5 linked regions of the Oryza sativa Japonica Group genome follow. The protein of the gene in region 1 binds, or shares a complex with, the protein of each later gene. Links are inferred from orthologs where the notes say so. Each region holds a gene or a part of one and is shown in the gene's direction. Other genes may lie near its edges. The genes, in order: large ribosomal subunit protein uL13c; 50S ribosomal protein L24, chloroplastic; large ribosomal subunit protein uL15c; large ribosomal subunit protein uL4c; large ribosomal subunit protein uL10c.

Region 1 (6,223 bases):
ATATATATATATATATATATATATATATATATATATATATATATATATATATATATTTCTGATAGTAATATTCATACCATTTCTTTTTGGCAGATGTTGACTCATCGCCTTTTCCCAGAGGCAAGATACTCTATATGGGTGGACTCCAAATACCAATTCCGAAGGGATCCAATAGGTGTGCTTGAAGCACTTCTTTGGAGAACAAATTCTACCTTTGCTATTTCTGAACATGGAGCACGGAGTAACATCTATGATGAGGGTAAAGCTATTGTTCAAAAGCACAAGGCTACTCCAGAAGAAGTAGAAGTTCAATTAACTCAGTATCGTAAAGATGGGATGCCAGATGAAAAAAGATTACATGGGTTAAAAGGTTAGTGCTTGATTGTAAAGAATGGAATGAAGTGTTGCCTACTTTGCATATTGCATATACGGAACCAGTTCTGTAATTTCCATAGCTAATGTGTTAAGCATGGTTGATATGATCAATATATCTGTTATATTTTTCAGCTTTATCTGAAGCTTCAGTCATTGTGAGGGAGCTGGCCCCAGTGACGAACCACTTCATGTGTGCCTGGTTCAATGAAGTTGTTCGCTTCACATCTCGAGACCAACTCAGTTTTCCGTACGTCTTGTGGCGCCTAAACATGCCAGGAATCAACATGTTTACTGTATGCACTCGGAGGGATCTTGTGAACAGTTTGGGTCACACAAGAAAAGTAAAACCTCTTCTTACTCAGACCAATTCAGAGTCATCTGCCATGTGAAGCCTTTTTCTGGTTTATCTGCTGACAATCAACTAACCGTTGATTTATATTGTTCTGATCTGCCACACCCTTCGGTCCACAGTTTTGTTGTAAATTATTCATTCATTATTCCTCAAAAATCGTCACGGTCTCTATGTACAAGGACTTGCACCATTCACCAGATAGATACACGTTAAGAGGCAAACTATCCTACCTTGATGGTACCTGTAAAGTTCTCTTTCATTTGGTGCAAAGGAACAATATTGACCCTTTATATTTGCTATATACGAATGTGTAACATATGAATTTGTGATGCACCCGGTGCTGCAATCTTATCAATGAAAATGATATCATCTTCTGTCCTTTGCACCGTAGGAAAACATGGACACCAATTCTCCAATGATCTTACCTTTTCAGTTATCTTTATTTGTCGCCAGAAACATAGCCTAATTTTGGGTATATGATCCTATATCACCTGTAGTGCTGACTTGCTTGTGTGTGTGGACAATTTAACATGGGGCAATTACTCATTTGACCCTATTTTGATGTCTAACTATCAATTTGACCTTACTTTTCTAGGTTTGCTCATTTGACCATGCTTTTTAAAATTGAAGATCAGAGATGACCCTATTTTGTGAAGGGTAGATAACGGTGTTAACTAAGAGGGAAATTGTCCGTTTTGCCCCTGCTCATTTACCATATTATATCAAAGTTTTTTCTTCATCGGGACTTTTTAAATATTTGCAATGATTTTCATGGCTTTTACAGATCTGAGACAGATTTGTCTTCAATTTAACAGAATTTTACACAAATTTGACAGCATATTGTCCAACAGCAAAGCATATTGTCCAACAGCAAATCAGATCCAAATCCAACAATAAATTCGTATCCAAATCCATCAACAAATCCAACCACAAGTTATCCTCCGTCTCTCGTTCCACACGACGCACGACGGCAGCCGGCGGCGCCGCCCCTCCGCGCGGCAACAGCCGGCGCTGCTGCCCCTCCTCCACCCTCCGTGCGGCAGCAGCCCCGCCGCCGCTCAATCTCTCCGCTTCGAGCACGGCAGCCGCCGCCGCCGCCGCTCCCTCCTCCTGCGCGCCGACGCCGCTACTCCTTCCCTCCTCGCGCGGCCGCCGCCGCCGCTCGCCGCTCCCTCTCCTTCCTCGCGCGGCCGCCACTCCCTCTCCCTCCTCGCGCGGCCAACGCCGCCGCCGCTCCCTCTCCTTCCTCGCGCGGCCGCCACTCCCTCTCCCTCTACGCGCGGCCAACGCCGCCACCGCCGCCGCTCCCTCTCCCTCCTCGCGCGGCCGCCGCTACCGCTCCCTCTACGCGCGGCCAACGCCGCCGCCGCCGCCGCCGCTCCCTCTCCCTCCTCGCGCGGCCGCCGCCACCGCTCCCTCGATGCGCCGCCAACGCCGCCGCCGCCTCTCCCTCCAGCCCGGTCGGCGGCAGCTCTCCCCGTCACCGGCGAGGTGGGGATTGGGACGAAGAGCTGGGGAATGGAATGGGAATCCTAGGGTTAATTTGTAACACGGGGGTATTTTGGTCACTTTAGGGTAGTATTTTTTTTTTCTTTTTTCTAAGTGATGTTCTACCGGTGAAAGCAAAACAGGTCAAATGGAAACTTCAATTTCAAATAACAGGGTCAAATAAACAAACCTAAAAAAATAAGATCAATTTAGTAGTTGGCCTTTAAAATAGGGTTAAATAAGCAATTATCCCATTTAACATATCGGAATTTCTACGCGTTTCTCTAGCTTTGATGCATCTGTGGGCTGCAAAGCCCAGCTAAGCAAAAGGCCCATCTCTTCCTCTTCCCCTTCTGGCTCCCTCTCCCCCCCTATCCCCTTCTTATCCGCTCTGCTCTCTCCACCTCGCCTCCCCGAAACGAAATGGCAGTGGCGTTCCACTGAACCAGGCCAAGCCAGACGGACAAGACTTCGCCGCAGCCGCGTCCTCCTCACCGCGCCGCCGTCGCAATGGCTACGGCCATCGCAGCCTCCGCGTTCCTCTCCTCCGCCTTCGCCAGGGACAGGCCGCTCCCCCGCCAGCGGCGCGCGGCGAGGCCCGCGACCCGCCGCGCCGCCGCGGGGGGCCTGTCGGTGCGGTGCGAGCAGAGCGAGAAGCAGAAGAGGCAGCCGCTCTCCGCGCTCGTCCCCCGCGAGCAGCGATTCATGTTCGAAGGCGACGAGCTCTGCGGCCCCGTACTAACCCTCACCTCTCTTTCTCTCTCCCGTATACATTCTTCTCTTTCTCAGTTCAGAAAATGAATAGTAATGCTACATTCCTTGGATAAAGGGAAATTTTACCGTGATTTAGGATTGCCGCTTATTTAGGAAAGCTCAAGATTAGTCCCATTCATTTCTAAATCCGTAAGTCACTTCATCTTGCTCTATTGGGTCAAATCCTTTCTTTACATGAATAATGTTAGGGAAAATACACAATGTTTTTACATGTTACTATACCGTATAGACCACCATCTTATTTTATTTAAAGTTATCTAGTTGTAATTTATTACGAAAGAGGATTCCATAAAATGAACTGAAAATAACATGGAGGGAACGTTGGTCTTTCTGAATTGGTCGCTAACATTGTGTTGTATTACTCAACAGTGTTCGCACCTACATGACTACCATATCTTTTTATCTGTGGATGTTTAGGTTTGTGAAGTTAGAATTCAGTACGGATACCATTCTTGTGTTCTTTCTCTCTTTTCTGTGCAACCTGTTCTGTGTAGTGATCGGACCAAGGAATTTAATTTGCAGGACATATGGAACACAACATGGTACCCTAAGGCTGCAGATCATGTAACTACTGAGAAGACATGGTATGTTGTTGATGCAACAGACAAGATTCTAGGTAGGCTTGCATCCACCATTGCAGTACACATCAGAGGAAAGAATGAGGCCACATACACTCCAAGTGTGGACATGGGGGCTTTTGTTGTTGTGGTATGTATGTTTCTTGAAATTAATTTATAAAGTTAAATAGTGCACACAATAAGATCCTCTGTAGTCCCACAAAAGGAAAAGAGGTTTAGCAGCACATACAAATAAGCACCAAAAGGTATCTGGAAGCTGAGGTCCACCTGAAGGCATTTTGAAGCTGATTTCATGTATATATATTTATGTTACTGTGTGCTTTTAATACTAATGCATCTCTGAAGAGTAATTGCTACGCATATACTATTGTAAGTTCCTGAACTACCATGCTGAACTCTATGTTCACATAGGTTAATGCAGAGAAGGTTGCTGTTTCTGGCAAAAAGCGGTCACAGAAGCTCTACAGGAGGCACTCTGGACGGCCTGGTGGAATGAAAGAAGAAACTTTTGATCAGCTTCAGAAAAGGATTCCGGAGAGAATTATTGAACATGCAGTGCGTGGCATGCTTCCTAAGGGCAGAGTAAGACATCATCTCTTAGAGCTCTTATCTAGTCAGTTTCATCAAGTCTTTTTGACCTTAAGTCAGCCTACCTGGGTATACATATGCTCTTATCCTTATTTTTGGTCAATTTCTAATACATATCTGAAAATGGGTATCCTCGTTCTGTTCCATTATACTTCATTATTGTGTATAATTCCCCAACTTTATATACCCTGTTCATGGAAATATTCGCTCTAATTGAATGCCGAAACGGCGTGGGCTAACGAAGTACTAGATGTATTCTCCCAAAACTCCTATGTTGCCTGTAAGACATCTTATGATTGCCTAAAGCCTTTTACTTATGCCTAAGTTCATTTATAAAAAAAAAAAACGTTTACTATGTCAACCTCTCAAGTTCTCATATGTTAGTGACACTGACACATGTAATCCGACCAACTACAGCGGTTGTACGTGCTCTATGTAGCCTTCTCAACATTTTGAACATTTTGCAGCTGGGAAGAAGACTGTTTACCCACCTCAAGGTGTACAAGGGAGCAGAACATCCCCATGAGGCTCAAAAACCTGTTCCACTGCCTATCAAGGATAAAAGAATACAGAAGTCTGAGAAGTAGATAATTCCTGTGGAGACTAAGAAAGACACAACAATCTCACGTAAATTCCTCCCCTCGAGATTTTGTCCAATCTTTGGAATGTGATGCATCTGTCTGTTTGGGGAATGGAGTGTAAAATTTTTTGTAATTTACTTCCTCCAAAAGTTTGTGTTTCTAAGTCATAGTTCTTGTTGATTACATATCATGTACCTAATACCGTACGATTTTAAGCAATCCGATATTTCCATATCCAATTGAGTAGTGCAATTTTGACCTGAGATGAGCTTGATGTGTCATTGTTTGGGGGCAAAAGTGTTCTCTTTTTTCAATGGGCATCAGGTGTTTCTAAATTCTCTTAATAGTTGATGTAGATCTGTTAATTAATTGCACGTCCGTGTTTATCTTCCATATAACGAAAAAGTTGACAGTACCAATCGTGTGCTCAAGTAACACCTATTGTACCATGTACTCATTCTGTAAAAAAAAAGCCAATTTAGATGAAGATCTGATACCACCTAAAAATAATGATTAGGAGGTTATCCAGATTTATATTAGGTGGTATCAAATTTTCATCTACGGGGTTGTTTAGATCCAGAGGTGTAAAGTTTCGACGTATCACATCGGATATTATATAGAGTGTCGCATAGGGTGTTCGGTTACTAATAAAAAAAACTAATTACAGAATCCGTCAGTAAATCGTGAGATAAATTTATTAAGTCTAATTAATCCATCAATAACAAATGTTTACTGTAGCACAATATTGCTAAATTATGGAGCAATTAGGCTTAAAAGATCCATCTCGTAAATTAGTCGCAATATGTAAAATTAGTTATTTTAGCCTATATTTAATACTTCATGTAGGTGTTCAAACGTTTGATGTTACAGAATAAAAAATTTTAAGGTGGAATCTAAACAGGTAGTTTTTTCAAGGAAGAAAGTAATTGCGAGAACATAGATTGAAGTTCAATTGAACAGAGGCGGCATGGCAGTGAGATGAGTAGATCCCGGAGTGGCCGGGTCGTCGCCTATAAAATTCAGCGAGATTCATTCGAGAGCGCGTCACTGCTTACCTAACCCCACCCAATCACCCCAACCGAACCCCGCACGGCGCACCGGACGCCGTCGCGTCCGGTCGCTCGTCCTCCGCGACCCCACCTGAACAACTGAAGAACTCATCATCCGTCATCCCTCCCCCTCCCGCCAGTTACCCTCCAGTACCATCCTCCGCCCGCCTCGTCTTAAAACGCCTTCTGGAAAATTCCGCCAATCCGAGAGGGATTTTTCCTCGCAACCAACCAAACCAACCAAACCCCCAACCAAGCGAGCAAGCCGCCTTCGCCGGGGGGGCCCCCACCCTGACGGCAACCCTAGCCCTCCGATCACCGGCGCTGAGACTGATCCCGCCGCCGTAGGAGGAGGAGGAGGAGGTGGTGGTGGTGGTGGTGATGGAGGGGGGCGGCGGGGGCGGGTCGCTGCCGCCGTTCCTGAGCAAGACGTACGAG
Region 2 (6,400 bases), on another chromosome or scaffold:
CAAAAAAAAAAAGATAGATTTTGCACATAATTTACATAATTCATACTTGGAAAGATCCGTGACCATGAGATAGAGAAGCGGTATGCATCCATGCCGATGTCATTCATTAACTCCACATCTTCCTGCCAGTTTATCCATTTAGTTGATGTCCTTATTTCATTACAAGCTCAATCAAAGAAATAGAATCGACTGAACAAATAAGACATGCTCTATCCAGAAAGCCTTCTTGATGCTCCAAAATGGCATCTTGTATTTGGAAAAACATCAGAAATGGTCTTCCTGTTATCTTAGTTTTGGAAGCAGCATGCTAGAGAAGTGGATTTGCACAATTAGTATACTAGTAATTCGTAAATTAGCAGTTTAGCATGCCTACAGTCTCTACACATTTAAACTGTAAATGGCCCAGACAAAACTTGCACTGGGATAATTTCCTAACAATATAATACGTCAGACATTGATGCTTGGAGATACAAAAGTGCGCAAGCAATTAGTTTTCATAAATTACTAGAAATTGTTGAAGCAAAGGTTGGCAAACATTTGACCTAACTTCCAGGATGCCTGGATTTGCACATTCCTGGTTAAATGACCAGTTCAGATTTCTTTGAAAAATAATCAATTCAGGTTCCATCAGATCATCCGTAAAACTATAATTCAAATTTAAAAGAACAACGTAATTGGTCAAGGCAAAGTTCACATTTTTAATCCCAACATAATTAGCCAAAAGGTAAACTTCATGTCCCAGATTACATATCAGGAACAAATGAAGTAAATAACATAAAGGAGGTACAGGAATTCATGAATTATGGATAACTCACCTTGTAGCGATGGTAGTGATCAACAGCAACATCTGCATTGCTGAAATCAATCACCCGACCTGAAGAAAGATTACATTGCTCATATTGCAGTCATAGTTTGCACCTCAGATTAGAGTACTTCTACAAATAAATCCCCATTACTGAACCTGGTCTTTTCGTGAGAGTATCCCATATGGTAGGTCCACGTTGGCCCTCATTCACGGCACCTTCATACTGGTAATATATTGACCAGAAATATCCATCAGACATCCATCTAAAAGAACTCAAGTGAAATTAGAGATCTTTTGGTAACACTAGACCTGGTAAGCTGAAGAAGCTGTGCCAAAGATAAAACCGGGAGGGAAGTCTGCTCTGCTTATAGCTTCAACACAGGCAGAAAAGCTGACAAGGATATGAACAAGTGTTAAGAGACTCATGGCCTTCCCTTCAGTAGGTAGCACTAACTACTAATGTCCACAGTCTATAGATAAGTAGCAGACAGGATTGTAAGATATATATAAACCTTGTTGAGTTGGTGGGGTGTGGGAAGCAACTGAAGGCTGATCATCACTTGTCTTGGAATCCAACGCGCGTCTCTGCTAAGTAGCTCTTGTGGAGGTGACAGGTTGCAATATCTCTATCACACTGGACATTTTATCAAAAAGGGAAGGAAACTTTGACATGTCCAACTCTGAAAGTGTCACGGGTGTAGCAAACTAAAGCTTTACTTGAGTGCAACAATTCCAGGCGCATTAAGGATTTCCCAGGATTCCAGCATTTAAGAATAAAAATTGTGTAACTGAGCCAGTCTTTAGGAAGCTACACCAGTTTGAGAGGAGTGCAAGCAACATGGAAGAAAGGCTGTGTTAATATCACGATAACACATTTCCTTCCTAAAATACCATCCTGCAGTATTGACCCCCCTTTTTTTTCTCTTATGCAATGATGCTAAGTGATAATGACAATAAGGAGCCTAAAAAATTATGATTAGGAAAATACAGTGGTTAACCCCAATATAATAGGAATCTTTGTTATCCAACTAGTTTGGCAGCACGGCATACCAACAAACAAGTACTACTAATTATTGATCACCACATTTGTTGCATTGATTTAATGAGTGGATAAACCAAAACTGATAGCAACGATTTAGTGATGAATTTATCCTGAGATTATAGCACAGTCACACACTTATCCCATTGGAAAGAAAACGGTTTGCTTGCACGGCAGAGCCTTTCAAGAATTGAATAGCTCCAGTGATAGCCACACGAAAGGGACAGGAGCGATTTGCTGATGGTGACCAGTGGAACAGGCAAGAATGTAGTGCACGTGTTATCCATGAAATCCCTCACATGTACACCTAAGGTTTATCACTAAATACAGTAACACACAAATACACAATGCATATAAACGTAGACTTTTGAGTCAACAGTTTTGTTTATCACGAAATATAGTAACTAACACTCAAATACACAATGCATAGAAACGTAGACTTCTGAGTCAACCGTGTTAGAATAGCTTGGCCAAAGATGCTCGATGATTCGAAATCTTCGGTCAAAAAGCTTGGAATTCATAGTATAACGACCACTGTCACTATGCTATTTGGTTTTAGGTAGAGAAACCAAGAGTTCTTCGATTCGAAATTAGGTTGGTTCCTCAACCTCCTCACATGGATCGGAAGGCTTCGATTCGAAGTCGTCCGATTCACATCGGTGCCATCTACCTACCCATCCCCATTCCCCACCGCCCACGCCCAACCCTATCAAATGAAACGCGAGATTGCAACCCCCCAAAGAGAAGAAAACGGCAGCGGAAATGGCGACGTCCCGATCCCCCACGCGGCGTGATGGGGAAGAACTCCTCAGGCGTACGCGCATCGGCAGCGTCGTCACCGCGAAAGCGCCCCCCAAAAGAGAGAGGAAATGGGTCCCAGAAAAGCGCAAAAGGGACGGAACTTGGGGGGTTGCTTGCCTCCGCAACTGTCGCTTGGCTTGCGCGCGTCGCCGGCGACGTCGAAGCCGCCGGAATCCGGGAGGCGCCACGCCTGGGCGCCCCCGCCGAAGCAGCATCTCGCGGCGCGTGGCGTGGTGATGATGCGTGTGGAGACGAAGCCACGCAACGCAACGAGGAAGACGACGAGCGTATGCTGGGCTGGGCCTTATCCGAAAACGGGTGTCGGCCCATATCAACCCAGGACGTTCGGCCCACGTTACTTGACCACAAACGGGATTGCGGACGACGAGCGGCCCACGACATTTGGGCCTTAACCGGATTGCTGACGTGCGTGATAGTAAGTCTATTTTGCCTCCCTCATGTTCTCTGCGAGTCAGCCTGCCACGTCAACAGGAACCACCCTACAAACCATCTAAGGGTTGATCTGCTACGGTTTTCGCTTATTCGAATCGTTTATTAGCAAATAAAAATTTATTTATGAGTAAAATGTTTATATATGTCCATAATAACTTAAAGCAAATGTTGTAAAATATAAGCATTTTAAAAAAACAAAAAAGCAAATTCAAAACTAAGTTCTCAAATTCAAATTTTGGCTCATAAATATAAGCATAACCAAACAATAAGACCGATTTTCCTCCATTTTGCGGTTGAGGGAGGTAATTCAATCAGGAGCAGAGATGAGAAATGTACAATAGATTTTATCTGTGTAGGTGCGACCTGTTCTTGTTGGGTCGAGACGGGATTGCGGCTTACGTGAGGCCCGCTATATTTGAGCCTGAACGGGATCGCGGCTGACTTGGGCCGTAAGGTCCGTTGTAGTTGGGCTGGATTACGATAGGCCTTTCATTAGGCCTTTATGAGTCTTACAAGTGGGCCAATCCATTCGGCCTAGAGGCCCATTTGTCATGTAGAAAAGCGCTCGCCATTATCCTGTCCGCGAGCACACGAAGGCGTTCGTTATCCTCTGCTGCTTCTCTGCGGTTTGAGCGAGCGAGGGAGGAAGAGGAGGGGAGGAGACGAAGATGGCCGGGGTGGCGGCGTTGCAGGGCGCGATGGCGTCCCTCTCCATCTCTGCGCCGGGGGCGGCGAGCACCAGCAGCTTCTGGGGCCACCCGCTCTCCACCTTCGCCGCCGCGCCGGCTGGGGTTTGTGCCGACTCCCAACCCTGATTCTCATTTTTCGCATTCCTTTATGTTTGCTCTGCTCTTATGATTCGCTGGAAAAGTAGAAATGCCAGCTTGCACTGAGATTTAGGATTTTAGAGCTCACCAACAGCGTGGCATTGCAATGGTGATGTCTACATCGCCTCACTGTACTGTTGTTGCCTTCAGGAGTTCAGGCTCAGGACCTCAACTAGCCAACAACCAACGTTGTGTCAAAATTTTGTGGTATATTTTTTTTAGAGAAAAGGTCTCAAGGATTTTGTGGTATAGTTGAACCTAGTTGGCTAGTATAAGGAGGGTTTATATGAATTAATGAATGCTTGAAATCTCAAGTTTGAGTATATCAACTGAGTGAATTCAGAAGTTAGAAATTGTGTTGTCTACCATGGGATGTGGCCTGTTATGTTTCAGTTTAAACTTGAATATTATTTTTTTCCTATGGTGGTATAAGCGATGGATACCCAATATTCAGCCTTTCAAGCAGAGGATTATTTTTCTGAAAGATGTGCCCTCTAGTGAGACAGACCATTTCTTGTTCTAACCTGCTGTATAGATCACATTTCGCTGGCTAGAAACAATTTTGCCTTTGAACTTTAAATTACTCAACAGTAGAAATTTCACAGAAGACTTCCATGGGAAAATGATGGAAACTCATTTCACTCGGGGATAGCCTGTAGCAAATGATTGGCACACTCGGTATACTTATCAGACTGAACTTGTTCTATCTTTTGTATATTCTTTTTGGCGTTCCTTAGCTCTTCTAGATAGTCTACTGCACTTCGTCCTCAGAATGAGACTCACTCACGACTAATTACTTACCTGGAAAGTGGTGATGAGAGAAAATAAGGCCGAATAATTGCTCTTGAATGGAGTGACTGAGCTATATATGGCACTTATATGATGAACTGTACTAAAATCTGCACTTATATGAAGAAACTCGTACTAAAAGATCATATGATTATCCTAGATATTCTTGCCTAAGAAACATCGTGAGCATGATTCATGTCATATCTCAAAAGCAGCTGATTATTACATTTTATGTCATTTTCATAAGAAACTCTGACAAGATATGCATAAATTTTTATATGCAGGTTAAATTTATGATCAAGACATGCCCAATTCAAATGAGGGTAAGTTTCAATTCTTTTTTGGTCTGCAGCTTGCTATTTACTCAAATGTCTGAAATTTCCCTTTTTCCAATGCAGCTTAAGCGATGGGAGAGGAAGAAGTGTAAACCAAACAGTCTTCCTGTCCTGCACAAGATGCATGTTAGGATTGGCGATACAGTACAAGTCATTGCAGGCCGTGAGAAAGGTAAAGTTGGAGAAGTTACGCGGCTTTTTAAGCACAACAGCACTGTAATAGTGAAGGACTTGAACTTGAAGTCCAAGCACAAGAAAGGAACAGAAGATGAACCGGGTGAAATCGTCATGGTCAGCATTGTTTCTCTTGAAACTTCTTTCTGTGCTGCTTCTAGCTAGTGTCGTATATATAGTTTCAGATGCCTGATCGTTAACCTATGGTTGTTGGTGTTTTCTTTGATCAGATTGAAGGCCCCATTCACAGCTCAAATGTGATGCTCTACTCAAAGGAAAAGAATGTGGCGAGTAGGGTTGGACACAAATTCCTTGAGGATGGAACGAAGGTTCGGTACCTGGTCAAGACTGGTGAAATAATTGACAGTGCTGAGAATTGGGTCAAGGTGTTCAAGGAAGGAAGTTCGGAGTGATCATGGTAGCATGGGAGTCCTGCACATTTTCTGAACTGCACTTTTTGTATGCCCAAATGAGTTGATGCTTTTCTAGATTCAGATTTCAGAGTCTTGTAAATTTCTATACAGTTGCCAACATTTTTTTGTATCCAATGACATGCTTGGCTTGTTAACCAGCTACTAGAATGGTTCAGCTACATTCGCTCATACAAATGATTTTGTAATGTTGTTGCTGTCCCCTGTCCTGAGCTATTATTCGCAACCATTGACTAATTTGGTCCATTTCCATATAGAAATATAGATGAGATGTACATATAAAACCCATGAATGATTGATAAGTTCTTTTTTTTAAGGAGTAGTAAGATAGGAGTATCATAAAAGAAACAAGCTTAGCAATTTTTTTTTTGAAACAACCCGCAGCGATGTTTCTATTGATATAGTAGGAAAAAAATACAAATATATAGTGCTAAAAGATAGCGATGTTTCTATTGATATAGTAGGAAAAAAAATACAAATATATAGTGCTAAAAGATTATAGTCAGAAAAAGGAAAAAACAAATCTGATTTGCCATTGATAACATGAAAGCTCAAGAGCTCGTGCTGACGGCTGAGAATCAACATAGCAGATATGGCACGCAAATATCAAATCCAGGTGATCGTAAGCAAACCACAGTTTTCTGCTTGCGTTTTGCTCCGCGAGGGAAACCTGACACCTGTCCAGATCCCATGAGACGAAGATGCAACCCATCAAGGTCACGAAAACAACGGGAAGTCGGCAACCT
Region 3 (6,289 bases), on another chromosome or scaffold:
CATGAGATCAGAAAGAAATTTTATATACACAAAGTAAGAACCTGATCTTTAAAAGTAAATCTTATTTTCTAATTTCAGATTGGCAGCTAACAATCTCTGTAGTGTGAAAGCTGTGGAGATTTGATCAAGTCAACCAAAATCAAAGGACCATCACAGGATGACTGCATTGAGGCAATGGGTGCTAATGACTTGTGTGACAGTTTAATTTGTCACTGGCATTGGTATTAGCTATATATTTCTTTGCATTTTTTTTGTTCCATGCATGCCTTATTGGTATATCTCTAAAGGTGTGTTCGGAATCCCCAGTTCCCAACTCATCCATCTCGTTTTCCGTGCGCACGCTTTTCAAACTGTAAACAGTGCGTTTTTTACAAAAAGTTTCTATACGAAAGTTGCTTTAAAAAATCATATTGATCCATTTTTTAAAAAAAGATTAGCTAATACTTAATTAATCATGCGCTAATGAACCGCTCCGTTTTCCGTGCGGAGGGGATAGGTTCCCATCCTCCATTACTGAACACAGCCTAAGAGTGCACATAAATATTCATAGAAATATAAGCTAGATGTACATTTTAAAGCTAACTGTGTAATTTCCAAAATGTGTAATTTATTACTCTCTGCCTTGTTAGTGTATCCTTGCAATGTGGGAGGTAGGATGTAAACCTCAGTTTGTGATGAACAAATAAATCAACTATTATTATTGTTAAATTTGACAAAGAGAGATGTTAAACTAAGAAGGTAATGATGGGTGTCTGCTTCAATATCTAACATTTTCTTTGTGTTGTCCTGTCACTTTGGCAATTGCATAATCTAAAAAGTGGTAAATGATCTGACATAAATTTTTCTTTATTGGAGGTGAAATCGACATGTCCAGCAGCCAAACAAGATTAGTAATACCTGAACAACTATCATGCTCTTTCTCCTCCTTGGGGTCCTGGGATGCAACTTACTCTAAATTTAGTGTCATTGAGTTCATGGATGGAGTCATGATTTGGCTTTCTGTATTAATATATATATAGGCACAAGAAGCGGTGCACTGGTAGCTATCACAGAGTTCAAGGATCATCATCAGGTTGTGTAGAGGGTTCAAAAGGTAACATTTGGCTTAAAAAGGAGGTTCCAGTTATGATAACATTTTAAGACCATAAAACAGTCTATTTTGTTGAAATGCCTTGAGATGACTCTTTACTGCAGATATACATTTTAAACTCTTAGTATGCCTACTCATACAAATTGATGATACTGCTAATTTTTGTTGGTAGCTTTATCTGTAGAAGCACCTGATTGCAAAGTTGAAGAATCAGCCCCTGGAAGTTGGCACAATGCGCATGCATCAATTAAGGGTGGAAAAGGCAATAAGCATGAACTGGAAGAAACCTCTGCTGGGTTTCCTCCTGATGACTCTATTGGTATTTCTGGAATGGAGTCCTCTTCAAGAGACACAGCTAATAAGAAAATCAAATTGTCAAAGGATATTGGTTTGGACCGTCTAACCGCCACAACTGTTCAGGAAGCACCGAAGCGTCCAAGAACAACCTCACTAAAGAAGAATCAAGAGTGCAGCAGACAGAAGAAAAGAAAAATAAGCAAGTGGGATGGTTCCTACTCTGTAATCATTGAATGGTTGAATTACTATTCTGTGGATGAGTCAGATGAAGATGAGGTGCCTTTGATAAATAAAAGAACCGAAAGAAGAAAGCGGCAGAAGTTACTGAAACTTGTTCTTGCTAGGGAATCCAATAGTGGCAGTGAAGGTGCTAGTTCTACATCTTTTGTAGAAAATGGCAGAAATTCTAGCAGTGCTGGCTCTTACCCCCTAAGCCAGGGGGACAATGACAAATCTGAAAATGTGCAAGCTAATCGAGTTGATGTAAGTTCATTGCCAGATCATCCTGTAAGTAGTCATGTAGCAGCAGAGGATCAAGCTGGCCAAGCTGCATCGTCACCATTGAACTCACCAACTAGAGGTATCGTTGTTGACATTTCAGATGGTTGATGGCCAGAGTTCCATTAGTTTCTTTCAGCTGAGGCCTGGACGTACAATTATCCAGACTACAGTTGTAACACTTACTTTTAATTCCTTGCACCTGTCTACTGCTAGACATGCAACGGGACGATCCTGTGAAGCATGTGTCTTGTACATGTCTTCGTTTCTTCCTTTCTCATTTCACCTTTTCTTTTCTTAGCATAGATCAGTTCAGTATACTTAACTCTGTCAGGTTGTGTGACCCATCAGTTTCTCTCCGTACTAGTCTCTTGAAGAACAGCAAAGATCAGGTTTTCTCTTTGGTTGATTGTGTGTGGAAGATCAATCCAAATATGTTCATTTCTTAAGAAGATAAATTCAGTTCTATTCTATTCATAAACTTTTGTAAACCTTCTAAAATCCTTTAATAAACAAGAAGCAAAGTGAGTAATACGAAACCATTCACAAAATAGAGGGAAAAGAGGCCCAAATTCCCAAGGGTTAATTGGATTCATGGCCCATTTATCCAACCGTCTTATCTCCCTCGTGTCCTTCCCCAATTATCCCCTTCTATCCACCCACACCAGCAAGCCGCTCAGGCGCGCTCTCCGCTCCACCGCCATGGCGTCCATCACCCTCCTCTCCCTCGCTCCCGCGGCCACATTGCTCCACCTCCCGGCCTCCACTTCGCTCTCCACCTCCTTCGTCGCCGCTCCAGGCCCCATCTCCGGCCGCCGGTCCGTCGTCCTCCGCGCCCGCCCGCGCCGCTGCGTCACGGTCGTGTGCAGCGCCGCGGCGGCCGAGGCCGCGGAGGCGGAGCCCGCGGAGAAGTTCCGGCTCGACAACCTGGGCCCGCAGAAGGGGTCGCGGCGGCGGCCGAAGCGGAAGGGGCGCGGTATCGCGGCGGGGCAGGGCGCGAGCTGCGGGTTCGGCATGCGTGGACAGAAGTCGCGCTCGGGGCCAGGCGTCCGGCGCGGGTTCGAGGGAGGGCAGATGCCGCTCTACCGCCGCATCCCCAAGCTGCGCGGCATTGCTGGAGGTGAGTCTCTTCGAGCTTCCCGCTTCCCCTCCTCGCCCTCAATCGAAGCCTCACACATTCAAATGCACTGGAAATTGAGTGGGAACACGCTAGCACCTTCCATTTGGAATGCAGAAATGCTGGGATTGAGAAGTGACCCGTTGCAAGTTCTACCTTGCGATTGCAGGAATGCATATTGGCTTGCCGAAGTATGTGCCGTTCAATTTGAGAGACTTGGCGCGTGGCGGGTTCAAGGATGGTGACGAGATATCATTGGAATCCTTGAAATCGAGGGGTTTGATTAATCCGTCTGGCAGGGAGAGAAAGCTTCCTCTGAAGGTACACTATACGACGATTATCCTTCTTTTTTTTAAGTCGGTTCTGTAGATGACCATGTTTTACTGAAAACTGAAATATGAATGCCTTGCATTTGATCTTTGCCAGTGAATTCATCAAGTTCACCAGCAGTCTTGGGTAATCCTTTAGTTGTTGATGTTGTGGATTGAATGGCTGGCCTTTTTTTTTCTTGTAGTTCTCAAATGTTGCTGTGTTGGTCTGTCCTTAGCAGCAATTACCAAGTTGAGTATTCGAAGTCTCAAAGTTGTGTGTCGGGATCAATTTTCTTAGCTCGTGTTGGACAAACACGGTATGATTTGACGAGTGTTTCTATTGGCTACTCAAGGATCTAGAACGTATGAGTTATGATGAACCCACACATGGTGTAGGCCTGCATATGAGCATATCTGTCAGGCATAAACATGAAGTGGTATCAAGATCCCAACAAAACCATGTGCTCTTACATGTACCACTGCATGTCTGCATCACTCCCAACATACCCAAAATATTTACTGTTTGTCTCCACTCTTAGTTGGCGGATTGCTGGAGTAGATGCATTAGTGTGCTACTGGGTTGCCCCTTATAGTGGGTAGTGGTGTGGCGCTTGATCACTGATGTGACAAAGACTTCTCCAAGGGTGGAACTTAATGCACCTTGAATAGCATAATTGTTCAACTTTTATTGTTCTTTCTGGTCCTATTTCATTTGATTGATTTTTTCTATACTCTAGGCTCCTAGCTATGTGGTACATATAAGGTAAAACCCACAGGGCTAAAACAGGTATCAAGACCTAAGTCATAATGTGGGGAGCTATCAACTTTATCCTTATGATAGGCTTTTTCCTTCTTGACATCTGATTCTGATGTTCAGCAGATGGCGTTCCTTTCATCTTTGTTTGAGTACAATGATACTGCAATGTTGCTGTTGTTATTGTATCTTTTATCATGCGGGTAGTATTAGTATGCTAACTTTTGAAAACCTATCTGTAGATTTTAGGAGATGGTGATGTATCAGTCAAGTTGAATATCAAGGCTGGGGCATTCTCTGCTTCAGCCAAGGAGAAGCTCGAGGCAGCTGGTTGTACTTTAAGTCTGGTACCAAAGCGGAAGAAATGGCTACCACAATCTTATCTGAAGAACCAAGCTCGTGCAGAAGAATACTTTAGCAAGAAAAATGGTGGTGCTGGTGAATCTGATGAAGCATCTGCATAGAATTCATATACACTGTACTTCTCCTTTACCCTTTTCTTTAACATATACTTATTTCTCTTACCTTGTTCCAAAAGTTCCACGTTCAACGAATTTTGAATCCGTGCGATATGCAAGCATTTTTTTTTGTGTGTTTCCTGTTTAAATGGAGAAAATTCCTTCTATACCCCTGAAAGTTTAGCCAATCCCTTCTACGCCTCCGAGTTTTGTCCACTCCTTTGTATGCCCCTGAATTTTGGTTTTGATCCCTTTCATACCCATACCGTTAGTTGAATGTTTAATTCTAATGAAAAGGACCTTTTTGCCCTTAGACATGAAGGAAATCTAAAAATTGTAGACTAGCTATATTGTTGGAAGTGTATAATTTTGTTATATAAGACTATCATATTCATGACTTTATTGTACAAGGTATTATTCATGGCAAAGTTTATTTTTACCTAATGACATAAAAACTAATATTTATTTACCTACTAAAAGAGTATATGTAGCATTTGTTTATGGTAGTTCAACATATTTTCTCCTGTTGTATATATTATATAGGAATGCTTTCCAAAACTATGTTTATCATTTAAAAAAATGCTACATGTACTTTTTAAATATATATTAAATTTTTTATGTACATAAAACTTATGAATATGATAATCACACAACAAATTTTATACTTCCAACAATATAGTTTACAAATTTCTACATATTCCTCACATATTGAAGGGTAAAACTGACTTTTATATACCTATTAAACGGTCAATTAACGGCAAGGGTATGGAAGAGATCCAAATCAAAATTCAGAGGTATACAAGGGAGTGAAGGAAATTCATGGGCATAGAAGGGATCGGCTAAAATTTCAGGGGTATGGAAGGAATTTTCTCTCTTTTAAATGTGATGTATGTCAAATGTCAGTATGCATACCCCCCAACACACACCCTCACCCTCTTGTGATCTTGCACTTATACTTCAAGTTGCCTATAGTATTGTTGTCCATGTTGTGTTATAGTTTGGTGACAGTCTTTCTAAACAAAAACAATGATGGTTCATCTAGGAGCTAAACTCTGTTTCGCTTATTTGATCCTGCCTTTTTCAAAAGAAGGTAGTTATCATTTCAGTGTCTTAATTGATGCCCATATGTGATAATGTGAACTTGTGGGCTTCTTAATTGTCCATGTATACATTTCGTGATTTCCTGGGAAAGTGGACAGCTGGACACACATGGGGGCATGCACACTTAATTGCTGCACTGTTCATCTAGTGACAAGAATGGGCAAATGTTATATAGGGTTGCAAGTCATTCTATGTGTGCTTAACAATTGATTTTGAACACAAATTTCAACAGAACTCATCCATGAATATTGCTTGTTTGAAGAAGTTATATAAGGACACTGCTATATCTACTGTCACATAAATTACAAGTAGTTTCTTGTTTGACTTAATACAATAAGGACAGCACATCCCTCCTCAAAGGCTCAAACTGACTACAGTTATATCATCATTTTGAACTTCATGTTCATGTTCTCTCATTTTTTATTCAGGGATTTAAATCGCCACTTACTGCTGCTTGTTTCTTTAGGAGTTAGTTCAAAGGGTGACATAACTCACCTTTTACTGCAGCTTGAAATTCTTTTTCCTCTCTCTTTGATTCATTCTTGCACCCTCTTGCTCCCTGTGGACGTTGATGCTTCTTTTGTTTGATTTGCTTCTTGTTTCAATCGTTTACATAATCTCAATTATACCTCATACTTGTTATTTTCCTGTTGTTTTTCGACA
Region 4 (6,363 bases), on another chromosome or scaffold:
TTGCAATTACATGCTGCTGATTACTGGATCCAAGACTAACAGCTGTTCTTATATGGAAAAAAGGCCTCATTTAGTTTTTCCTAGGCCTCATCCCAGTTCCTAAACTGTTAGCTCAGCTTTTTTTTTTTGTCCCTAAACTGCGGATAAAACCCATCCTTCATCTCTGAAAACCAAGTAAAACTTGTCCTCCTAAGTACTTCATATAGTCAATATGCAAGTGCTAATGATTCAGACTTTGTTTGGGGCATGGTTGATTGACTCCGTTTGGCTGCAGATTCAGGACCTTTACAAAGAAGCTGGATTTTTGGGCTTCTGGAAAGGTGTAGTTCCAGCTCTTATTATGGTAAGTCTTATGTCGCATTTTCTTTTGCTAAGTTATTTCTTTTTTACAAGTTATTGTTTCCATGTTTCATCTGTCATCAGGTTAGCAACCCTGCAATCCAATTCATGTTGTACGAGACTCTTTTGAAGAAGTTGAAAAAGAGACGTGCCTCTAATTTGAAGGGAGCTGATGGACTGACTGCTCTTGAAGTAAGCTTTTGGCTTTTGGCTTTTCTGGTGACTGGGATCATTGTACAGATTTATTAGGATATAACCAATTTGCATCATGCTAACTTGCTGCATTGGGGCCTGAATCTACCCGTAACGCTGACTTGAAAGTTTGTTCTTCTAGTAACGATGTTTCATGTCCAGTAATTATATGTTGCATGTCTTAACTTCATTTACCATGATGATTTGCTGAAAACACTAGTATTTCTTATATGCTCCTAATACTACTATTTCTTTGTTAGTTAGCTATGTTATAGACCGTCTTCATCTCACGCTGTAAAATCCTTGTTCAGATTTTCCTTCTTGGTGCTGTTGCCAAACTGGGTGCGACTGTTGTTACATATCCTCTTCTAGTTGTGAAGGTGATTATTTGAACACCAGTTACAGCAGCAGCCGTTTCTGTGCACAATTGAGCAGACATGTCAAGTTAAACCATGTTTTTTTTTTCTACAGGCAAGACTTCAGGTGAAGCAAATAATTGATGATGACAAGAGGCACCGCTACAAAGGTACATCGCTGGCCTTTATTCTTTAAACTTCATTTTATTATTTAGAGTGAATTATTATTTAATGAGTGATGTTGCTCCATATCCTGTTTCTGATAGTCTTTACTTCTCTTCTGGTAATAATATTTGCTGTTCTCTGACTTTGTTACCAAATACGCTATGCAAATTTTATTGCTTGCAGGCACATTTGATGCGATCACAAAGATGATACGTTATGAAGGTTTGTCAGGGCTTTATAAAGGAATGAGCACAAAAATCGTACAAAGTGTTTTTGCTTCTGCTCTCCTTTTTATGATTAAGGAGGAACTGGTGAAGGGCGCTCGATTATTGGTAACCGGCAACACCAGCCTTGTTAAGAAGTTACCATCGAAGCCATTAAGATGATCTAGGTTGTACAAGAGTTAGTTCCCTACTTATACCACAATTGTTTCCATAAAGCGATGGACAGAGTTGCCAAGCGCCCCTGTTAGGAGATATCAAGTTATCTGTGAGACTCTGATCGACTGTAGGCTCTCCAAAAAAAGGAGATTAAAGATGTAGTACAATTACCACTGTGATTCTTGTAGGAACCAATAATGATGGTATATATTGGGTAGGCTATCTCTGTTGCTCGTGTAAAGTATACTGTTATGGAAGATTGAAACACTAGAAAATAAGTTGGCAATGAGAATCGCAAGCGCTAGTCATCTGTTCAGATTACTTGAGTTTCTTTAGCTTGTTTGTTAGAGCTAACCGAGAAGAGGATCGCAATCGTGAAAACTTCGCAAGTGTTCAGAACAAAAGTAGAAGTAGAAAATTTGGAGTTCCTGTCCATTTTTAGCATAACTGTGTCTATGGTGCGCCCCATCTGTCAATGTGGTTCTCAGGCAACTGTTCTGATACACAAGTGCTAATGAGCAATCTGACCCGACAAAAAGGAAATGAAATTTAATTTGATTATTTCAAACTCATTTTGGTGAAACTAAGCCTCCTTCTTTACTAAGATGCAAATTCTTCCTAACACATTTTTTAAACTGCTAAATGGTATGTTTCATATGAATTTTTTACATAAAAATATTTTAAAATATCAAATAAATCAATTTCAAGTTTAAAATAATCAAAACTTAATTAAACATAAGCTAATGGGCCGTTTTCATTTTGCTTTCCTATTTTATTTCATCTTTATTAGAAAAAAAACACCATCTAATAGACTAATACTGCCTCGAGGGTTTTTCTTTAACAATATCTAAGTTTTTTTAATGAAGAGATGCTTCTTCTAAAATCCAAACACATAGTAGTGTGTGTATCTTACTGGTCTGGCGCGACCGACTAAGCTGACACTCGCGAGAGTGTGGCCGGTCCGGTCGGGTGGGGGTGGATAAGGAGATAGAGAAGCGGCCGCTCCGCAGCTGCAGCGGCAAAGCCTCCCCGTCGTCCAGCCCACGCAGCGCACCGCAGCGAGCGAAGCCGCCGCAATGGCCGCCTCCTCCGTGGCCTCGACTCTCCTCCTCTCGCTCTCCTCTTCCTCCTCGCCCTTCCTCTCCCCCACCTCGGTCTCCTTCCTCCCATCCGCCGCCGCCGCCGCCTCCTCCTCCCCGCGCGTCGCCGTCGCCGCCGGCAAGCAGAAGGCGGCTATCTCCGTCCTCCGCGCCCTTCGCGCCGAGGCGGCCACCCTCCCGGTTCTCTCCTTCACCGGGGAGAAGGTCGGGGAGGTCGCCCTCGACCTCAAGTCGGCGCCGCCCTCCACCGCGCGCGCCGTCGTGCACCGCGCCATCATCACCGACCGCCAGAACAAGCGCCGCGGCACGGCCTCCACGCTCACCCGCGGCGAGGTCAGGGGAGGCGGCAGGAAGCCCTACCAGCAGAAGAAGACGGGGAAGGCGCGGCGCGGGTCGATGCGCACGCCGCTCCGCCCCGGCGGCGGCGTCATATTCGGGCCCAAGCCCCGCGACTGGTCCATCAAGATCAACCGCAAGGAGAAGCGCCTCGCCATCTCCACCGCGCTCGCCAGTGCCGCCGTGGCCGACGATGCATTCGTCGTGGAGGAGTTCGACGAGGAGTTCGCCGCGGGTCCCAAGACCAGGGACTTCGTGGCCGCGCTTCAGCGGTGGGGGCTCGACCCCAAGGAGAAGGCCATGTTCTTCGCCACGGATTTTGCAGACAATGTGCGGCTCAGCGGAAGGAACATTGGCTCCCTCAAGATGCTAACCCCCAGGACTCTCAACCTATACGACATCCTCGATGCCCGCAAGCTCTTCTTCACCCCGGCCGCCATTAACTATCTCAACTCCAGGTATGGTGCCACCGTTTTTGATGAATATGAGGATGATACCAATGGCGAGGATGATGGTGAGGAGGAAGCAGAGGAGTTGCAAGAAGGAGAAGGGAGCGCAGAGGAGGCTGCTCAAGGTACATAGCTATGCATGAACAATTTCCAGGTGTCTTTTTATTGTTTCTATGGTGGGCATGTGCGAAATGACTTTGAGTAACTAATGCTATCCAGTGATCCTTTATTTTACATGTTTTAGTTGATAGTTAGGAGAGAAAATGCTCTGCTTTAATGGCATGTACAGTAGTTTTTTTTTTTATCTTTTAACTCTTAGCTATGCTCTGTTGTAAATATCATGATCGATGCTATACGTATGCTGATAAAGATCCTGACATGCGTTTTAAGGGTAAAAACAAGATAACGTGGCAAAGAAACAGAAAATGTAGCCAGTTTTGTCTTATGAATACCATCTTAATTATTATGGAGAAATTCTTTGTGGCCTTGTAGACTTATGGAGCTAATTTTTTTTTCGAAATAGTTCTCTTATCCTTACCAGCATGCAAAAGGAAAAATGCTTACCATGCTAATGTACATCGTATGGTTTTTTTTCCTCCTGAAAGATCCAATAAGTCCATGACATAATTCAATGGTCTATTTTAGAAGCATGCTTAGAGATCCACCTACCCCTATGCTAGCTCTCAGTAGACCCACTGAGTCTGTATTTTACTCGTTATTTTGCACCTCCTTAGGGTTTTTATTCAGAGCTCATGAGCAACTCAACAATTTGCGAATAGAAAATGACTTCACCTAATGGTGGTTAAATTTTCGGCTGAAGGTGGATTAAGTCCTAAGCACTAAACTAAAAAATAAGAAGAAATGAGACTGCATGGAATCCATGAACACCACTGAACCAGAACTCTGGGGATACTGGTACACTCCTTATAATAGTGTCACAATCTGCTGTGCCACACAGCTACCCCTATCACCTATCACTTGAAACATTGTCAGCCATTGGCACTGTCATCATTCACTTCAAAGATGTTCTGTTAGACCTTAGAACCATCTTAATAAAGTAGTTAGCTGTGAATATGCTGGTTTAAGTTGCTTTAGAGGTAAAACCTAGTTAAACACATGTTTTCTCCATCACTCAAGCACTTCCTTTTCGTAAATACTATGCATAGCTACAGGACTAAGTTATTATTAATTGACATTCAGTTCTCTGTTACATTTTGGTGCTGCATATTATAACTTTCTCTTATTTTGAGCATTTCTCAGGAACTTCTTTTTGTATGACTTTCAGATGAGGCTGCAGAGACTGAGGCTGATAGCAATTCCTAGGGAAGGAGGTGTAGATCGCGTGTTTTTCGTTTGTTGGTCTGGTAATTGCTTCCCTGATGCAGAAGCTTTTTGGCTTACTTTTGTTGTAAGTTTATAATGTTTTTTTTTCACTGATGCAGTATATTAGATCTTCAAACTGCACATATATTTTCAAATACAATGTCGTGTCAACCACTGCATATTTTTCTTCCAATTTTATACAGAAAGTGCTTCCCAATCTTGCTTCAAAAAACCAGTGTTGACCTGCTGGTTACCACTAATTTTCTACTCCCTCCGTTTCATATTATAAATCATTTTGACTTTTTTTTCCTAGTCAAACTTATTTAATTTTGACCAAAATGATAGAAAAAATAATAACATTTTTAACACAAAACAAACATGTTATCAAAAATATATTCAAAGTTACATTTAATAAAACTAGTTTGGTATTATAAATGTTACCATTTTTTTTCTATATACTTAGTCAAACGTACAGAAGTTTGACTCCGAAAAAAGTCAAAACGACTTATAATATAAAATGGAGAGAGTAACATCTTGAGTAGGGGTATGATTACAAAATCTTGTCTCCTTAAATTGTTGAATTGTTCCTTGTTATGACTAACTTTTTCGCTGGGTGAGCTCTAACAAGTAACAACTAACAAGTCTTTTCAGAGGACTTGCTGCATTTTACAATGTGGAAAGTAGCCTAGCTCAACTTGGACATGGAGCACTGGAGCAGCATAGCCCGGGTTAGATGCTGATCTTGAAACTCTAAGCCCAGATCAGTCGTAAACAACAGACCATTTTGCTCAGGTTTACTTGTAGATCACCTGAGGGTTTAGTGAACCAACCCTCTGCTTATGCCTAACCATAATGATTCCATCATTTTTCTTTCTTACCTGGGTCATGCAAGAAGAGTTGTTGGGCCATCCTTAAGTCCACCCAGACAACTTTGGACCAGATCATCACCTTTCTAATTGTTCTGACATTGCACTACAAGTGGATTATGGGCTTATGGGCAAAGCTGCGTCTGTACTTTAGAAAGGTGCAAGATCTGGTCTTTTGCTATGTCTAGTATTTTATGTCATTTTTAGCTGGTGCTATCGGTAGAATTTACTTATAGTTTGCTCTGTCTTACTCTGCTTTCAACAATATCTAAAGAAATCATTTGTGAGATTGTGACTGACATAATAGTGCTGTATCTATGAACCGAAAAGGGAAGAGTCTTGCTTAGGTTGAGCCAGCTTCTTTGGCACTATCTTTTAAACTTTTTGGTGGGCAAAAAGCTATCCATATTATACTAGCCCACTATGCATAAAAGGCATACAAATTATGGGGATGGACCTGAGCACATAATTTCACTCTCTTTTTTTTTTCTTGAGACTGGCCATTGATTGGTTCTAGTTTGGAATATTGGATCGATTGACTATAACTGTTTCCGTCCCTACATGTTAGGTCTGCATTATGCTCCTTGGAAGGAATCATTAGAAAGAAAACTTACCACTACACTAAATGTCACTCACCGTATTAAGTTCTGTGCAAATATGCAGCAGAATTCTATTGTGCCACTGGCTGCTGTTGTGCAACTGAATTTACTGGGTGGGATTCTTAAACTAAAAATATACCAGATCATCTCAGAGTCTCCGGAAGTAACAGGAAAAACGGTTGATTCATCCTTCAGGCTACTGTTAGGACACGAAAACACCAGTGGAAGAAATAAGTTAGCATGATGGTATAAATCTTA
Region 5 (5,033 bases), on another chromosome or scaffold:
GTTTTACCTTACTTTTACCTACTTTGGCACAATCTATAGGAGATTAGGAGTGGTTACTTTAGTTCTCAAGGGGGTTGGGTATCGTATATCTTTTTTGTTCGAGTGATGCACTGATGCTTGATTATTATCTTGCTAGCCCTATCAAATCACAATTTTTTTCTTCATTAAACATGATGTTCGTACCAATCCATACATTGTTCTCATGCTTGCAAAGAAATAATTGTTTTGTTAATCTAATACATGCGCTTTTGTGGGTGTTTTGTGGGTCTTGAACTGTAGTCCCGGCACATCCTTGTTACCGATTGGCTGTCATCTACCAAAAGCTTCTTCTGCTGTCTGCCGATGCAGTTTTAAACTGCTTGCAGTTTTATTAATCAGAAACATTGACAATCCATTGTTGTGGCCTCATGCCATTATGTTTATTAGTCTGCATGCTGTTTTATTTACACTTGCTATGTCATGCAGGTTGTTGATACTGTTGAGGATGCCATTAACTGTATTTTGGAAAAGGAATGTATACAGTGACAGAGTGACACTTGTTCTGAGTATCCATGCTCCCTTCATTGTTATTTGGCATGCATTTTGTGCCACACCATTGTTTTGTCTAGCAATTCTGGAGCAATTGTTAGCCGGAGTTCCATCTCTGATTCATTCCACTTGTTTAAGTTGGGACATCAGAAAATATGCTGATGCGCTATAGTATTTTTTTTTTCCTGGCTGAGAGATAGGCCGGACATTATATATGTAGAATCGTCAGGGTTTCAGGGCAGCAGAGCTGCAGCAGAGCTAAAAGTGAATTTCACCCTGTACCAGACGTTCTTGTTTCCCTGCATCTTATTTCTTGGATTTCAGTACTACCAATGACATTATTATATGAACTATACACTTCCATTATCAAAACCATCATTTCATGTTAGGGATGGCTTGAAGTGCACACGAGTTATGGAGAGAATGGTAAGCATCGGATGTTTGGTTTTCTGTGAAATTGCGTTGAGCATGCTGAGTCCGGAACAACTCCGTGTTTACAGCATCAGAGCAGCTGCTGTTGCTTGATCGTCGCAGTTTATATCCTTTCCACCTGACATCCTTGCAATGTTTATATCCATTTTGATCGTCGTACAAGAGATTCGCATGGTTTTCTTACCTGTAAAAAAAAGTTTGAATTATATATATATATATATATATATATATATATATATATATATATATATATATATATATATATATATATATATATATATATATATATATATATATAGTGATGCATCTACAAATCGGGCGCTCGATTTTTTACAAAAATCAGGCATTGTTTCACTAAATAGATCGAAAATGTTTCAATATTTTTAAAAAAGCTGAAACACAACCAAATCACATCGTGAAATATTTTGTTACAACATATGAAACAACAGTTTCCAAAAAAAAATCAGGCATTGTTTCATCCTATATAAAAACAATATTTCAGCAAATAGCAAAGGATGTTTCAAATCATTGCAACATTTGATCATACATAGTGAAACATCACGAGTACACTTGCTAAAACATTGTTGGTGGAAAAAAAAATGAAACGGATTCCTTTAATAAAGTATTTCCTTAATGTGCGGGTGATTTGTTATAACGACGCGTGTGGTGGGGCACGTGGGGGGGGGGACAACGCATAAGGGGTGGGAGCGTGCGGGAGGCGGCGAGCGCCCGATTTTTCTACCGCTGATCGGGCGCCTAATCGCTGTCATTTTCTTATATAGTGATATCTATTGTGTTGAATAATTCAGTACACTGATGTATGTTATGTTTTATTGTACATATCAAGAGTTTTTGAACTCAAGAAAACAATAGTGATGTATGCTGTGTTGAACAAGGCAGTGAAGATTGGAGTTGTTGGTACACGACTTCACTCACTATGGTTTAAATTGACGTCTATGAATACCACACATACGCGTTTGCTCTATGCCTCTATTTTTTTTTATTTGGAACTCTTAATCTTATTTTCAACCGCTCATGGATCAAGATCGAACGGCTATAAATCCTCAAGCAAAGGTCAATCTCCACGGAAGCTTCTTTCTGTGCAGCTGACCGAGCTGAGTTCACCATCTTCTCAGGCACTGACGATACGGTCCCACATAATCCAGTGAGCCCCCCGCCTCATCTTCCCCACAGATAAGCTCTCCCACTCCACTCTTTCTCCCAACCCGCCATAGCTCCCGGCCTCCGAAGATGGAGACCTCCTCCTTCCTCCGCACCACCCTCCCCACCGCGAAGCCCCTCCCGGCGTTCCAGACCCTCGCACCCCGCCCCCGCCCCCGCCCGCTCCGCCGCTCCACCATCAGCGCGGCCATCACCCGAGGCCGCAAGGAGGACACGGTGGCCGCCGTCCGCGAGCAGCTGGAGGGCTGCTACCTCCTCGCCGGGATCCGCTACGAGGGCCTCACGGTGAAGCAGCTGCAGGGCATCCGCGACACCCTCCCGGAGACCTGCCGGCTGCTGGTGGCGAAGAACACGCTGGTGGGGAAGGCCATCGAGGGCACGCCGTGGGAGGCGCTCAAGCCGTGCATGAAGGGGATGAACGCGTGGCTGTTCGTCCACACCGAGGAGGTCCCCGCCGCGCTCAAGCCCTACCGCGCCTTCCAGAAGGAGGAGCGCCTCGAGGAGACCAACGACTTCGTCGGCGCGGTGTTCGAGGGCAAGTTCTACGCCCCCGGGGACTTCAAGGCGCTCGAGACAATGCCCAGCCGCGCCGAGGTGTACGCCAAGCTGCTCGGCTCGCTGCAGGGGCCCGCGACCTCCGTCGTCACCACGCTGCAGGCGCCGGCCAGGGACGTCGTCTCCGTGCTCTCGGCGTACGTGCGCAAGCTCGAGCAGGAGGTCGGCGCCGCCTGATGGCTGTTGAGAGATGGTTTTGTGGCTTCGTTTCTCTCATCTCACTCATTTCTTGTAGAATTCCTGTACTTTTACTGCCTCACGTTTGAATTGAATCACAAAAGTTTTACCTCTTACAACGCATGCCTACTGGTCTGATTTCATAAGATTACCGAGTTCTGATGTTATTAGGATTACGTTGCGTACTTAGAGGGAATGCTTGTTCCACAACTAGTGTTTTGATAATTTAATTTTACCTGTAGAGACTACAGAGATCAAAGTTTAGTAGGTTGAGGGGCAATGGCAATGCACAATTAGAATGGTCAATAACTACTAGTGCTTGTGTAGTTGTACCATCAATCAGTGTATCCAGGTTTACAACAAAGTTGTTCAAAGCAGTATGATGAGATGTTTTAAAATCATGAACTTAACTGTGCTCTTTTTGTTAAGAGCAAACCTCCTTGAAGTGAACAAAATTAAATGATTAATTCATCTTTTAGTAACAGAATAACACTAATTAGAGTTGGAAATTCTTCTGAATTAGCTTCTGAAACTTACTGTTGGTCACCAGCTCACCACATACCTAATTTGTATCATTTCTGTCTGAACGCGCAGTGGATCAAGAATAGAATTGGCAAAATTGATGATCACATGGTCACTTATTTGTTTGATACTGATTTCTTCTGACAGTCATGGTATTGTCCTAGGTTATTGTACTTGAGTGATAGTTGTAGTTTTGCAGGAGTGACTACCAGGCATGTCAATATGCCAATATCATTCGCCCAATGGATAAGGATGTGAGAGGCTCTTGAGAATATAGAGGAAAGCTTGTTAGGACCAAGTTGCAGTCTTACGGATGTGAAATTGCTTTGGTATGGGAAACCATTTCTTTGGTCCATTCCTGAAGATCGTGTTGTTTGGTTATAAAAGATACATAAAAGATACATATGTCTCTAGCAACATATTGTGATTTGGCTGCTTAGGATCTATTGCAAGCTAAAGTGGAATACGTGCACTGCCACCAAGCGGTTGTGAAATAAAGTATCATCTGGATAAGTGCTTTCCTCAATCTCTGAATTCTTCAATGGAACTCAGCAACATGATCTTGTTTGTCTTTAAGCTTTTACATTAATTTGAAATTTGTTTGCAATGGCATGCTTAGACACAATTTGAAATCATAGTTATTCCATGATGTATAATAACAAACCTTCTTGTACAGTAAATTTAGTCCTGATTGATGTGTAAAAGTAAATACACTGCTACAGCCTCATTATATAACTGGAGGGGATTTCCATGGTGCAAATGTGCATTTGCTTGAGGTCTAAAAAAATGGTGCAATTCTTTTGACATCTAACTAACATCAGAGTTGTATTCAACACATCATTGCATCTCAGTGACACTGATGAATATTTTCTTTACTTTGTGGGTCCAAACATATTAATGCCTTGCATGCACTACTTTATTCCTGCAGTGCTGTATCTCCAAACAGATAAACCTAAACAAGTTTTCCCTTCATGAGCGAACTGTTGCTGTGTTGGTCCTTTTGAATTTGGTGATGCATTTTACGTTCCTTAATTAGGTCTAAATTTACTTTATGTGAATATTACTATTATATGTAAGATAATGTAAGCCTGATTCTGTTCTTGTGTTGATAAAGCTGGGCACCACCATGTGAGCGCCTGATTGGCTTCGAAAGCTCACACCTGTTTTTTCACCTAACTTCGATGCGGGGTTTACCACTTGACTGATGAAGGAATGTTAGCAAGTTGCCAAACACTCTTGAAAAGGAGCAGATTCTTGCACAGCTGCTTTGTGTGATGGCACCGGCGACCTAGCATGAGCACATGACACTTCCTGGTCCAGGTTCTTCCTACTCGTTGGTGTTTCACGAACTCAATAGTCCTACTTTTTTTCCCTTTTCTTAAACGTGTTCGATATCTCTGCTCCTTCAATATGCCCGTTTGGCCGCTGGCAAGGTGAGCAGACGGCTTCGATCACAGCTGCTCGCTTGATCGGACGGTCCGTTTGTCTCGTTGGACAATCTCCAAGCGCGTACCAGTGTACCACCGGATTGAGACTCTGTAACTTACTTTTCTTTGACATGTGAACCCTCTATCCAGCGGGTCTATATGTCAGTGTCTCAAAAACAAAGGAAAGTAAGCCAAAGATCATCTTCCGTG

What was found.
Region 2: large ribosomal subunit protein uL13c (region 1) and 50S ribosomal protein L24, chloroplastic share a complex: the UniProt entries of both Arabidopsis thaliana proteins name them as parts of the 50S ribosomal subunit. The link is inferred for Oryza sativa Japonica Group from reciprocal best matches to the Arabidopsis thaliana genes emb1473 and RPL24.
Region 3: large ribosomal subunit protein uL13c (region 1) and large ribosomal subunit protein uL15c share a complex: the UniProt entries of both Arabidopsis thaliana proteins name them as parts of the 50S ribosomal subunit. The link is inferred for Oryza sativa Japonica Group from reciprocal best matches to the Arabidopsis thaliana genes emb1473 and RPL15.
Region 4: large ribosomal subunit protein uL13c (region 1) and large ribosomal subunit protein uL4c share a complex: the UniProt entries of both Arabidopsis thaliana proteins name them as parts of the 50S ribosomal subunit. The link is inferred for Oryza sativa Japonica Group from reciprocal best matches to the Arabidopsis thaliana genes emb1473 and RPL4.
Region 5: large ribosomal subunit protein uL13c (region 1) and large ribosomal subunit protein uL10c share a complex: the UniProt entries of both Arabidopsis thaliana proteins name them as parts of the 50S ribosomal subunit. The link is inferred for Oryza sativa Japonica Group from reciprocal best matches to the Arabidopsis thaliana genes emb1473 and EMB3136.

What each region holds. Positions count from the first base shown.
Region 1 is NC_089035.1:31,964,515-31,970,737, forward strand, and holds large ribosomal subunit protein uL13c, read left to right. Parts: upstream 1-2,630; 5' UTR 2,631-2,725; coding exon 2,726-2,950; intron 2,951-3,511; coding exon 3,512-3,697; intron 3,698-3,978; coding exon 3,979-4,149; intron 4,150-4,622; coding exon 4,623-4,742; 3' UTR 4,743-4,975; downstream 4,976-6,223. Other genes in the region: probable hexosyltransferase MUCI70, read left to right, coding at 94-370, 508-764; heat stress transcription factor A-4b, read left to right, coding at 6,167-6,223.
Region 2 is NC_089040.1:29,338,619-29,345,018, reverse strand, and holds 50S ribosomal protein L24, chloroplastic, read left to right. Parts: upstream 1-3,686; 5' UTR 3,687-3,766; coding exon 3,767-3,889; intron 3,890-4,998; coding exon 4,999-5,037; intron 5,038-5,112; coding exon 5,113-5,340; intron 5,341-5,453; coding exon 5,454-5,636; 3' UTR 5,637-5,858; downstream 5,859-6,400. Other genes in the region: beta-glucosidase 25 isoform 1 precursor, read right to left, coding at 47-122, 816-874, 962-1,028, 1,115-1,231. UniProt on the Arabidopsis thaliana protein: One of two assembly initiator proteins, it binds directly to the 5'-end of the 23S rRNA, where it nucleates assembly of the 50S subunit. Required for optimal plastid performance in terms of photosynthesis and growth.
Region 3 is NC_089037.1:6,340,438-6,346,726, forward strand, and holds the start of large ribosomal subunit protein uL15c, read left to right. Parts: upstream 1-2,528; 5' UTR 2,529-2,587; coding exon 2,588-3,005; intron 3,006-3,171; coding exon 3,172-3,323; intron 3,324-4,309; coding exon 4,310-4,531; 3' UTR 4,532-4,545; exon of another isoform or gene 4,546-4,647; intron 4,648-5,287; exon of another isoform or gene 5,288-5,507; intron 5,508-6,289. Other genes in the region: uncharacterized protein, read left to right, coding at 1-33, 103-221, 1,020-1,093, 1,263-1,996.
Region 4 is NC_089037.1:8,801,357-8,807,719, forward strand, and holds large ribosomal subunit protein uL4c, read left to right. Parts: upstream 1-2,440; 5' UTR 2,441-2,508; coding exon 2,509-3,442; intron 3,443-4,602; coding exon 4,603-4,640; 3' UTR 4,641-4,857; downstream 4,858-6,363. Other genes in the region: peroxisomal nicotinamide adenine dinucleotide carrier, read left to right, coding at 275-343, 424-531, 843-911, 1,003-1,057, 1,236-1,438. UniProt on the Arabidopsis thaliana protein: This protein binds directly and specifically to 23S rRNA. May play a role in plastid transcriptional regulation.
Region 5 is NC_089037.1:9,830,343-9,835,375, reverse strand, and holds large ribosomal subunit protein uL10c, read left to right. Parts: upstream 1-2,150; 5' UTR 2,151-2,211; coding exon 2,212-2,874; 3' UTR 2,875-2,997; downstream 2,998-5,033. Other genes in the region: mitochondrial hydrolase YKR070W, read left to right, coding at 466-525. UniProt on the Arabidopsis thaliana protein: This protein binds directly to 23S ribosomal RNA.